Linked DNA regions of Saccharomyces cerevisiae S288C. The gene in region 1 interacts genetically with each later gene. Each region holds a gene or a part of one and is shown on either strand. Other genes may lie near its edges.

What was found.
Region 2: mutations in UTH1 (region 1) and DAK1 together harm fitness more than expected from each alone (negative genetic interaction), as found in Saccharomyces cerevisiae (2 studies listed by BioGRID).

Annotation. Positions count from the first base shown.
Region 1 is NC_001143.9:517,231-521,814, forward strand, and holds UTH1 (SUN family protein UTH1), read left to right. Parts: upstream 1-2,296; coding exon 2,297-3,394; downstream 3,395-4,584. Other genes in the region: YKR041W (uncharacterized protein), read left to right, coding at 968-1,720; SHB17 (sedoheptulose-bisphosphatase), read right to left, coding at 3,667-4,482. UniProt on the Saccharomyces cerevisiae protein: Involved in aging, oxidative stress response, and in the regulation of mitochondrial biogenesis.
Region 2 is NC_001145.3:130,724-135,976, reverse strand, and holds DAK1 (dihydroxyacetone kinase), read right to left. Parts: upstream 2,503-5,253; coding exon 748-2,502; downstream 1-747. Other genes in the region: FACT complex subunit POB3, read right to left, coding at 1-477; Golgi transport complex subunit COG8, read left to right, coding at 4,405-5,253. UniProt on the Saccharomyces cerevisiae protein: Catalyzes both the phosphorylation of dihydroxyacetone and of glyceraldehyde.

The DNA.
Region 1 (4,584 bases):
CAGCCTCCTTACTCCCCATTTCCTTATTGAACTTTGGGGATTCGGAGTTCCTTTTTTTTTCCGCCACTCCGATAACTAAACTTTGCAGTTTCACTGCTTGTTAAACATTTTCCTACTATAAATGACATTTAAAACGTAATTGAGACAAAAAAAGTTAAATCGTTATTAACTTTCACTGCGGCTCCGCTCTTTTCCTCATAAGGAAATCCCCTCTTATGATCTTGAGAAATGGGGGAATGTTGAGATAATTGTTGGGATTCCATTGTTGATAAAGGCTATAATATTAGGTATACAGAATATACTAGAAGTTCTCCTCAAGGATATAGGAATCCTCAAAATGGAATCTATATTTCTACATACTAATATTACGATTATTCCTCATTCCGTTTTATATGTTTCATTATCCTATTACATTATCAATCCTTGCACTTCAGCTTCCTCTAACTTCGATGACAGCTTCTCATAACTTATGTCATCATCTTAACACCGTATATGATAATATATTGATAATATAACTATTAGTTGATAGACGATAGTGGATTTTTATTCCAACAGATCTTGATATAAGCCCTGTCATTGATTGCAAATGCACAAATTCCGGAGATTGAACAGCCAACACAAAGATAGTATTTGGGACTTAGCGGGTTGAGAACGGTAATTATATCATGAATACTCCACTCCAAGCTTGTTTGATACATCACATTCTTGTAAAAATATATGATCCAATTCCTAGGACATCAGAAAATATATCTACTATGGGCGTGTGGCGTAGTCGGTAGCGCGCTCCCTTAGCATGGGAGAGGTCTCCGGTTCGATTCCGGACTCGTCCATTTTAAAATTTCTTTTTTTTTTTTTCTCTTTCCGTATGTAAGCTTTTTTCCTTTTTTTTTTTTTTTTTTTTTTTTTTTTCTTCACTACTTTTCAATGAAACTCTCTTCAAAAGACAGCATGCAGTAAAAGCGCCGATATGAGTGACGACGATTATATGAACAGCGATGACGACAACGACGCCGAAAAAAGATACGTAAGGCCAATTTTCGTCAGAAAGCGCAGGAGAGAAGAAGACTACGTTGCAACTAGCAAAGACAACATCCACCACCACCCATGCGATTGGTCCGCGAAACCATCGCAACGTCAAAACGAAAATGAGCAAAAAAGCACCATACGGCTTGTACCAGTGGCGATGAATACGCCGAAGTGTCAAGAGAAAAAAAAGAAAAGAAAGGGCGTTGGTACAACTAGTCATGAGGCTACGCTTTTCGAGTACGGTGAAAGCATAGCAGGCTACAAGTGTGTTACAACCGAGAGCGAAAGAGACCGCTTGAAACGAAGTCATGAAAGCGAAAGCAGCAGTGAAAGCGAGGTAGACGTTTTCGCCTTTGACCAGGCAAAAGGTATCAGCTCTAAGGTTGAAGCCGAAGAACGCTACGCGCGGGCCGTTCGACAGTATTGGCGCATGACCAAAGACGAGCCGGCTACCTTACCACTGCCAGGCACACCTACCCTAGCGGCTGTGAGTTTAGATATGATTGATGACAAAAGCGTAGAACAATTTTACACAATGAGCAGTGCCTTGATGGATGCAAACAGACTAGACTTGATTCGCCGCGATAGAATCCGGTGGCACCCGGACAAACATCGTTATCATAAGTCCAAAGTCACAAAACTGTTTCAGGCCATTAACGGCCTGTGGGAGCAAGAAAAGACCGAGAAAAGGTAATGAAAAAGTGGAACTAGACCCCACGTCAGCGGGCCTAGGCCCTTCAATGTGTTAGAATACACAGCGTGCCTAGTTCCTGGTGCCTGGATCTCGAGGCCGCGGCACTGGAAAAGCCCTTTCTTTTCCAGATCGGGAAACCTAATGAGTCCATAAAAAGAAATGTAGAGGTGGTGTTGACGTTTTGCCGCTTTTGGGCAAGTAGGTCTTTCTGCACGGCCCGGCCCGGGTCGTGCGGAAAAAGAAAAAAGCAGACAAAACAAAATTTTTCCTTTTTTTCGCCTTTGTTTCTCCTGATTCGGGTATATAAGTGAATACCATCTAATGTGTTTCCTTCTCGAGACCTCGGCGTCTCCCAGATCAAAGCTCAGCAAAGATTTTAAACCGCAATTTACGCTCCTTTCATCGGTAACTAAGAAGAAAAAAAAAAAAGTACGACCACACAATTTCCAGTGTATTCATTCCTTAAACTTCGTTTATTTTTTATTCATTCATTCATTTTTATTTGAATATAACCAACTACTAGTCCTTCCTTTAAACAAAAATTTACCCTCCCTTAATTTTTCAAGAAATTCCAGTATGAAATTATCCGCTCTATTAGCTTTATCAGCCTCCACCGCCGTCTTGGCCGCTCCAGCTGTCCACCATAGTGACAACCACCACCACAACGACAAGCGTGCCGTTGTCACCGTTACTCAGTACGTCAACGCAGACGGCGCTGTTGTTATTCCAGCTGCCACCACCGCTACCTCGGCGGCTGCTGATGGAAAGGTCGAGTCTGTTGCTGCTGCCACCACTACTTTGTCCTCGACTGCCGCCGCCGCTACTACCTCTGCCGCCGCCTCTTCTTCCTCCTCTTCCTCTTCCTCCTCTTCCTCTTCTTCCTCTGTTGGTTCTGGAGATTTTGAAGATGGTACCATTTCCTGTTCTGATTTCCCATCCGGACAAGGTGCTGTCTCCTTGGACTGGTTAGGTCTAGGCGGCTGGGCTTCCATCATGGACATGAACGGTAACACCGCCACCTCTTGTCAAGACGGATACTACTGTTCTTACGCTTGTTCTCCAGGTTACGCTAAGACCCAATGGCCTTCTGAACAACCTTCCGATGGTAGATCCGTTGGTGGTTTATACTGTAAGAACGGTAAATTATACCGTTCCAACACCGACACTAACAGTTTGTGTGTAGAAGGTCAAGGCTCTGCTCAAGCTGTTAACAAGGTCTCCGGCTCCATTGCTATCTGTGGTACCGATTATCCAGGTTCTGAAAACATGGTCGTTCCTACCGTAGTTGGCGCTGGTTCCTCCCAACCAATCAACGTCATCAAGGAGGACTCCTACTATCAATGGCAAGGTAAGAAGACCTCTGCCCAATACTACGTTAACAACGCTGGTGTCTCTGTGGAAGATGGTTGTATCTGGGGTACTGAGGGTTCCGGTGTCGGTAACTGGGCCCCAGTTGTCTTGGGTGCTGGTTACACTGATGGTATCACTTACTTGTCCATCATTCCAAACCCAAACAACAAAGAAGCACCAAACTTTAACATCAAGATCGTTGCCACCGATGGCTCTACCGTCAATGGTGCTTGCTCTTACGAAAATGGTGTCTACTCTGGCTCTGGCTCTGACGGTTGTACTGTTTCAGTTACTTCTGGTTCTGCTAACTTTGTCTTCTACTAGGCCTTTTTTCCTTGAATATTGCAAATAAGCTTTTGCTAGTACTTTTTTTACTCCGTTCATTTTATGGTTTATTTTTCAATTAGTTCGTTTTTCCACAATACAAAAAAACACAGTCCTTTGTACTATCCCTTTTATTTCATTATTTTTTCTTTTTTAAGATACCACTAGATATTATCATATATAGCATATTATATAACATAAAAAGTCAAGAAAAAAAATGTTTTTATCACTTTCTATAACTGCATATCTTTTTTTGCATTTCGAATGATTGCTTACACATCGCCATGCTGGGATTCCTCCTCTGGTGGTGAGACAAATGGACCTGCTAATTCCAATGCAGGTTCGTCAATGTTGTGGTGAGCGTATGACAAAACACCAATCCCACCGGCGTCCAGTAAGAAACATGGATTGTCTACCAAATGTCTGTAAGATTCCAATTTCACATATGGAACTGTGTCGTCATCATAAGATTTGACATTTTGAATTTCTTCAATCGTCTCACACTTCTTTTGCACACCCAGTCCAAACCAAATAGCAGCAAAATAACGCAATGCATGTCCGTGCGCAAAGACCATGATGTCTGATGCTCTGCCCTCACTCTGGTGCTTGCGGTGCAAGTTCTGGATTCTGGCAATAGCGCGGGAAAGTCTCAACCCAATTTGCTGAGTAGTCTCACCGTTCTCACACCCATCTCTCCAGATATTCCATGGCCTCTCCTTGTCCAAACCGCGTGACTTTCTCAATTCAATGATTTCTCGAGTCAGCATTCCCTCGTAGTCACCGTACTCCCACTCTCGCAAGTCGTCGTCTACCACCACACGGATCTTAGCTCTTTGCTCGTCGCTTAATGGTTTCAAAACCAAATCCACAGTTTGCCTGGCACGCAAACGTGGAGAGGTGAAGATATAAGTGATGTTGTCTGGATTCAAAAACTGATTATTGCGGAAAACACTCTCACCGGTCCTCAACATTTGGCCCTCACCGTAGGGCGTTAACGGTAGATCTGTCAAACCAGTATACTGGCCTGACTTGGACCATTCAGTTTGACCGTGTCTGACAATGATACATCTGGGGGTTAGCGAAGGCATTGTTGCTTGCAATTAAGTGTAGGTGTTTCCCTATCCACTTAGCTATGAACAAAATGTGCTTATCTGAGCTAATATTTTTTCATTTTTGTCCTATAAATAATA
Region 2 (5,253 bases), on another chromosome or scaffold:
ATCTTGAATATTAAATTCTATTCCTACTTCATTTTTAGAGGTCAAATTTGTATTATTTATTCTAGCATAAGGAATTTCAAAAGTTGGTTTACCATTTAAAGCAAAAACCATTTCATTCCTGGCAAGGTCTGTCTTACCCCAGTTCCAACCACGTAAGGAATGTTCTCTTTGCTCTACCTGAATATTAAAACGGCGATGGAAATCATTCTTGATTAAGTTATAGTCATCCTGAGAAAATCCATCTAGTTGGATAACACCTTGATTTTTGGTATTTATCTTCAAGTCGTAACCCCTGCAGCCCCTACTCCATTGGACGGTAGATAATTCTGTGGCTGGTAATAAAAATGGTTTTCTTGCCTGATTTGCTGCAGAGCCACCACTGGTACTAATTTTCCACCCTAACCCAGAATCAGCAATACGGAATCTACCGCTAAATTTAGATTGGTTCAAGTAAATTCTATCAAAGTCGGTACTCATAATTCTTGTTCAACAATACTAGATTGTTCCTTCACTTGTTAACGGTATTTCCTTCTTGTTCTTACCACCGATTCAACATCTAGCTACTCTCATACTATGTATATCTCTGACACTCGCGTTAACATTTCACCAGTTTAACGATTCGTTTCGCGTTGAACCGGGTTATACAATCGTTCTTCGCGATGATAATAACAATAACTCCAAGAAAAGTAAGCTTTTTCTATATATATATATCATAAGTATCTTGATATGTATTCGTGAGCCAAGTACTTACAAGGCGCTTTGAACCCCCTTCAAAAACTCACATAGGCCTACTGCACCAGGATCTTCTACTTGAGATGAATCGCCGACATACGAAGCTCTGCCAAATTTGGCCTCGAATGTAGCAGTGGATTTAGCACCTTCCTCTGCAGCTTTTACCGCCTTATTGAAATCCTTAGATGCAGTAAATTCTTTAACGAATGGTTCTAAAGCATCAATCATGGTGGATGATCCCTTCCTTGCCTTTGTATATTTGTATAAAGTATCCAATGCAATTCCGAGTGACTTAGCCACAATTTCCTTAGTGACGGGTTCATCCTTTGATTTACAAACCTGAATTAATCCGTGTGAAAAACCCGACAAAAGAATAGAATATAAACCACCAGAAGTACCTCCCATTGAGCCTTCAATGAAATCTGAAATTTGGGCAACCGCCTGAGATAATGAGTCCTTCGACAGCTTGTCAAGGTTTTCGGTGATGCCTTTAACTCCTGCCACTAAAGTGTAACCACAATCACCATCACCAACTTGATTGTCTAGTTCCGTAATGTGCGGTTCGCTCTTGATAACTTGTTCAGCACCACTCTTCATCCACTCAGCAAACTTGTCAAAGTCATAGGTACCGACGGCCTTTGCTGTTACTTCATTATGTAACAAGTCATCGTTAACAGATGGGGCAGAAGTCTTTTCAAAATCTGCAATTGGCCAGCCCGGTGCGTTCGTAAATGCGTTCAACAAGTCTAGTACTGATTTGATCTCCTCAAAATCAGATTGCAAAGCCTTTGTAGCCTTAGTGGCGTTTAGTAATGTGATACTGAACCCATTACCATTGAAGGAGGTCATCAATGTGCCAGCAATTGTTTGAACCGGGGTTATGTTGTAATTTTCCTTTAAGAAATCCGTAGTTTTGGAAGTGATAGAACTAATAACAAAATTAGAAACACCGCCGAGATTGTTAACTAACAAGACAACTTCATCATCTTCATCAAACTTTACAAAAGCTCTATCCTTATCGTTTGGATCCAATAGTTTTGGTAGCATATACTTGGAGATCAAGTCTTCGGTAGAAGGAATAGGGTCTAAAACTTTCACACCAGGTTCGTTATGAATACCCATACCCAATTCCATTTGTTTTTCGTTTAATTCACTTTCGAATTTCCTGCCAGGAACTTTACAATGGTCTAAAGAAGATCCAATGGTCACCAAATTGTCGTTGATAATTTTAGCCACTTTAGCTGTACCGTCTAAGCCATACTTACTAGAATATTCTTCTGCGAAGGCACCTACAATCTTATGAACCAAAACGGTACCTGCCAATGCTCTTCTACCAACCATACCACCCTTTTCTCTGCCAACTGCAACATCATCACCTATGACAGCAACGCGGCAGTTAATACCCAAGGCTCTTGCTCTCTCAGCGGACAGACCAAAATGCAAAACATCACCTGTGTAGTTCTTCACAATCAATAAAACGCCAGACGCATTTTCATTGACTAAACGGATTGCATTTAAAATCTGTTTTGTTGAAGGGGATGCAAAAATTTCGCCAACCACGGCGCCACTCAACATACCCTTACCAATGAAACCGGCGTGTGTAGGTTCATGTCCACTACCACCACCAGAAATTAATGCGATCTTGTCGGAATCGGTCTTTCTGAAGAGAATTTTTTCTTCAGGGACCAGCGTAATGGAGGGGTTAGCAAGGGCAAACCCTTTGAGACTTGAATTGACTGGATCTGTGACTTCAAACGATTTAGCGGACATTTAAAATTTAGTCTTAGATATAGAATGTAATCTTATTCTTTGATGTGTTCGTTTACAGTTGCTACAAATAGTGACTACTTGTAGCGAAGTTGAAGTGATTTTCTCCTTATATATTTATTCATCAGTTAGTTCGACAGACGCTCGCGAGGTGGCCACTCTTTCAAAATGACGCAATTGGGAGTGGTTTGATCTTTCTCCCTTAGAAGCCAAATTGGCAAGCACTCACTCCGGGCCAGATTTACACCATGTTTGTAGCGCATTTAAATCAGGAAATGCATTATATTTCACTCTCTCGTCTAGCGAGTCTTAATGTTCATGACGGGGGAGCTTTATGCCTTGTTTTTTATCACAGCGCCAGACAATTGACAGTAACAAATAAAGGCAAAAAACCCTTGAATAGCACCAGAGGTGTTTACTGATTGCTTTTAAAGTACGTATAAAACTGTAAAATATAGATTAAATTCGACCGCCATTACTTTAGAGTTGAAATTGGGAAGCCGTATATTGCCATTTCAGCCATGCTTCTATGGTTCCTAATGGAAGCATGAATGACATACGCAATTTGATGAGCTTGAAAAGGGCGTAATTGACAAGCCAGATTTGAATCTAATCCCTTGAGAAATTATCTGCAAGTAGTAAAAAAATCTCTAAAAGATGTATAATTGAGTCGCCTAGAGACCTCATTCATCATGATATTTGACACCTTAATTTTGATAGTAGCGGGTCAGTCATTAAGAAGAAAGTGAGCTGGGGCTAATCATCAACGATCTCCCATAATTACGTACGTCAAAGACAACACGTTGGCAAAGGTAAGAAGAACGTAGTGCGTATCATGCTTACGGTGAATTTCACCCTTTTTTTCTGTTATTCGTGCTGATCCACGGGGTATTCAATTGAAGATATTATCTTTATCATCATATCGGTAAGCGTCTGGGAGAAGCAACTGGTCAAACGTTTTCAAAAACCATTCTTTAAACAACAAACCGATCAATGTTCTTGATCAGCTTATCAATCTATCCGATCTCCTGCGTTCAGCGTGACCGCCACACTTATGTCTAGATAATTTAACTTCCAGTTGCTAATTTCCCGCTAAAGTATCTTATGTTTACCATCACTGTAGCCGCCCTATCATATGCAACACTTCCATACTCATTTTCGGAATAAGAAGCAACTATCATCTAACGACTAGTATTTATATTACTGGTATATTACCATATTGGGTATAAGACGGTCAAATAAATATTGAGAAACAGTCACCAATTTTAATGGAAATTGAAATGAAAGGGTTGATAATGTGCTAGGAAAATGAACGAGAACATACAAAATGAAAGAAGAAATAATAATATTCCTACACAGAAATATCGGTTCTCTATTGTGGATTTTCATATTCTCGAGGAGAACCTCTAGTACATTTTGTGTATCTGGTATCACAGCGCTTGACAACTATAGAATTTAAACAATTATCTCATTCTTCATCCATCACTCAATCATATATATTAACCCCGGAAAAGTGCATTTTTGGTTTCTAATAACATTTGTATTAGTAATATTTGTTTACCCAACAATTCAAGAAATTTAGCTCGCGTGGCGTAATGGCAACGCGTCTGACTTCTAATCAGAAGATTATGGGTTCGACCCCCATCGTGAGTGCTTTGTTTCTTCTTTTTTGAATATGCTAATTCTAAATTTATAGGAAGAGTTGGATTTTCCTTTAGTTAGTTGTACTCTTGAAGTCCATTTTCTTTTTATACGTACATTAGATCGATCTCGCGATCATGGCTTCAATGTCTAAAAATATAGCGTAGTAACATACTGAAAAGAGAAGCACAGAAAAAATAATCATAGAAGTGTTAGGACATTTGAGGGAACATATTTCAACAATAAACATAATCATTGAGTAAAATGGAGCTGATACTAAACAGCCTCATTTCTGATGATTTAACAGAGGAACAAAAACGGTTAAGTCTTGATTTCCTACAGGATATCCTACAATCTAACACGAAAGACTATGAAAGTTATTTTTCATCTAGGGCTGTTCCTGGTAGCATAACTGAAGACATAGCAGAAATTGATGCTGAATTATCTGCCCTTGATAGAAAGATAAGGAAAACACTACTAGATAATACGTCTCAGATTATCGGAAATATTCTTGAAAACGATGATAGGGCTCAATTGGATGATATAGCCAAGTCTTTGGAGCAATTATGGGAATTGGATACTAATATTAATAAGGCAGCCGATCGAAACGTTACAAATGACGATATAAACAATGAAAGCGTTTCTATTGATGACTTTTTGGAAGACGATAAAGAAGACAACGACACAGGTCGCATCATGACGACTGAGAGTAACAATCTGGCAAGAAAGAAGAAGGAGGATGAGTTTCACAAGGCATTAAGTAGGTTAAGAAACAGAATTTCAACTAAAGAAGATGACAAGGACGACATTAGATCTGACACATTAGTCACTGTACTAGAAAATTTGGATAGCATTACGGATTTGATGGAACTACCATTTTTGGCCCGCACATGTATCAGAACAGGTCATTACCAGGAGGCCGTCATGCTATACACACACACTACTTCCCTGAGGTCAAGATTCCCTGGTTCAACCATTGTGGATGAAGTTTGCGAAAAAGTTTTAAACGAAATTAGTACTACCATGTTATCCGGGCTGGTAAAATTACTGTCTACTAATGTATCAGTAAACTCACTAAAGAAAATACTACAGTACTTGAATTCAATTCCACCA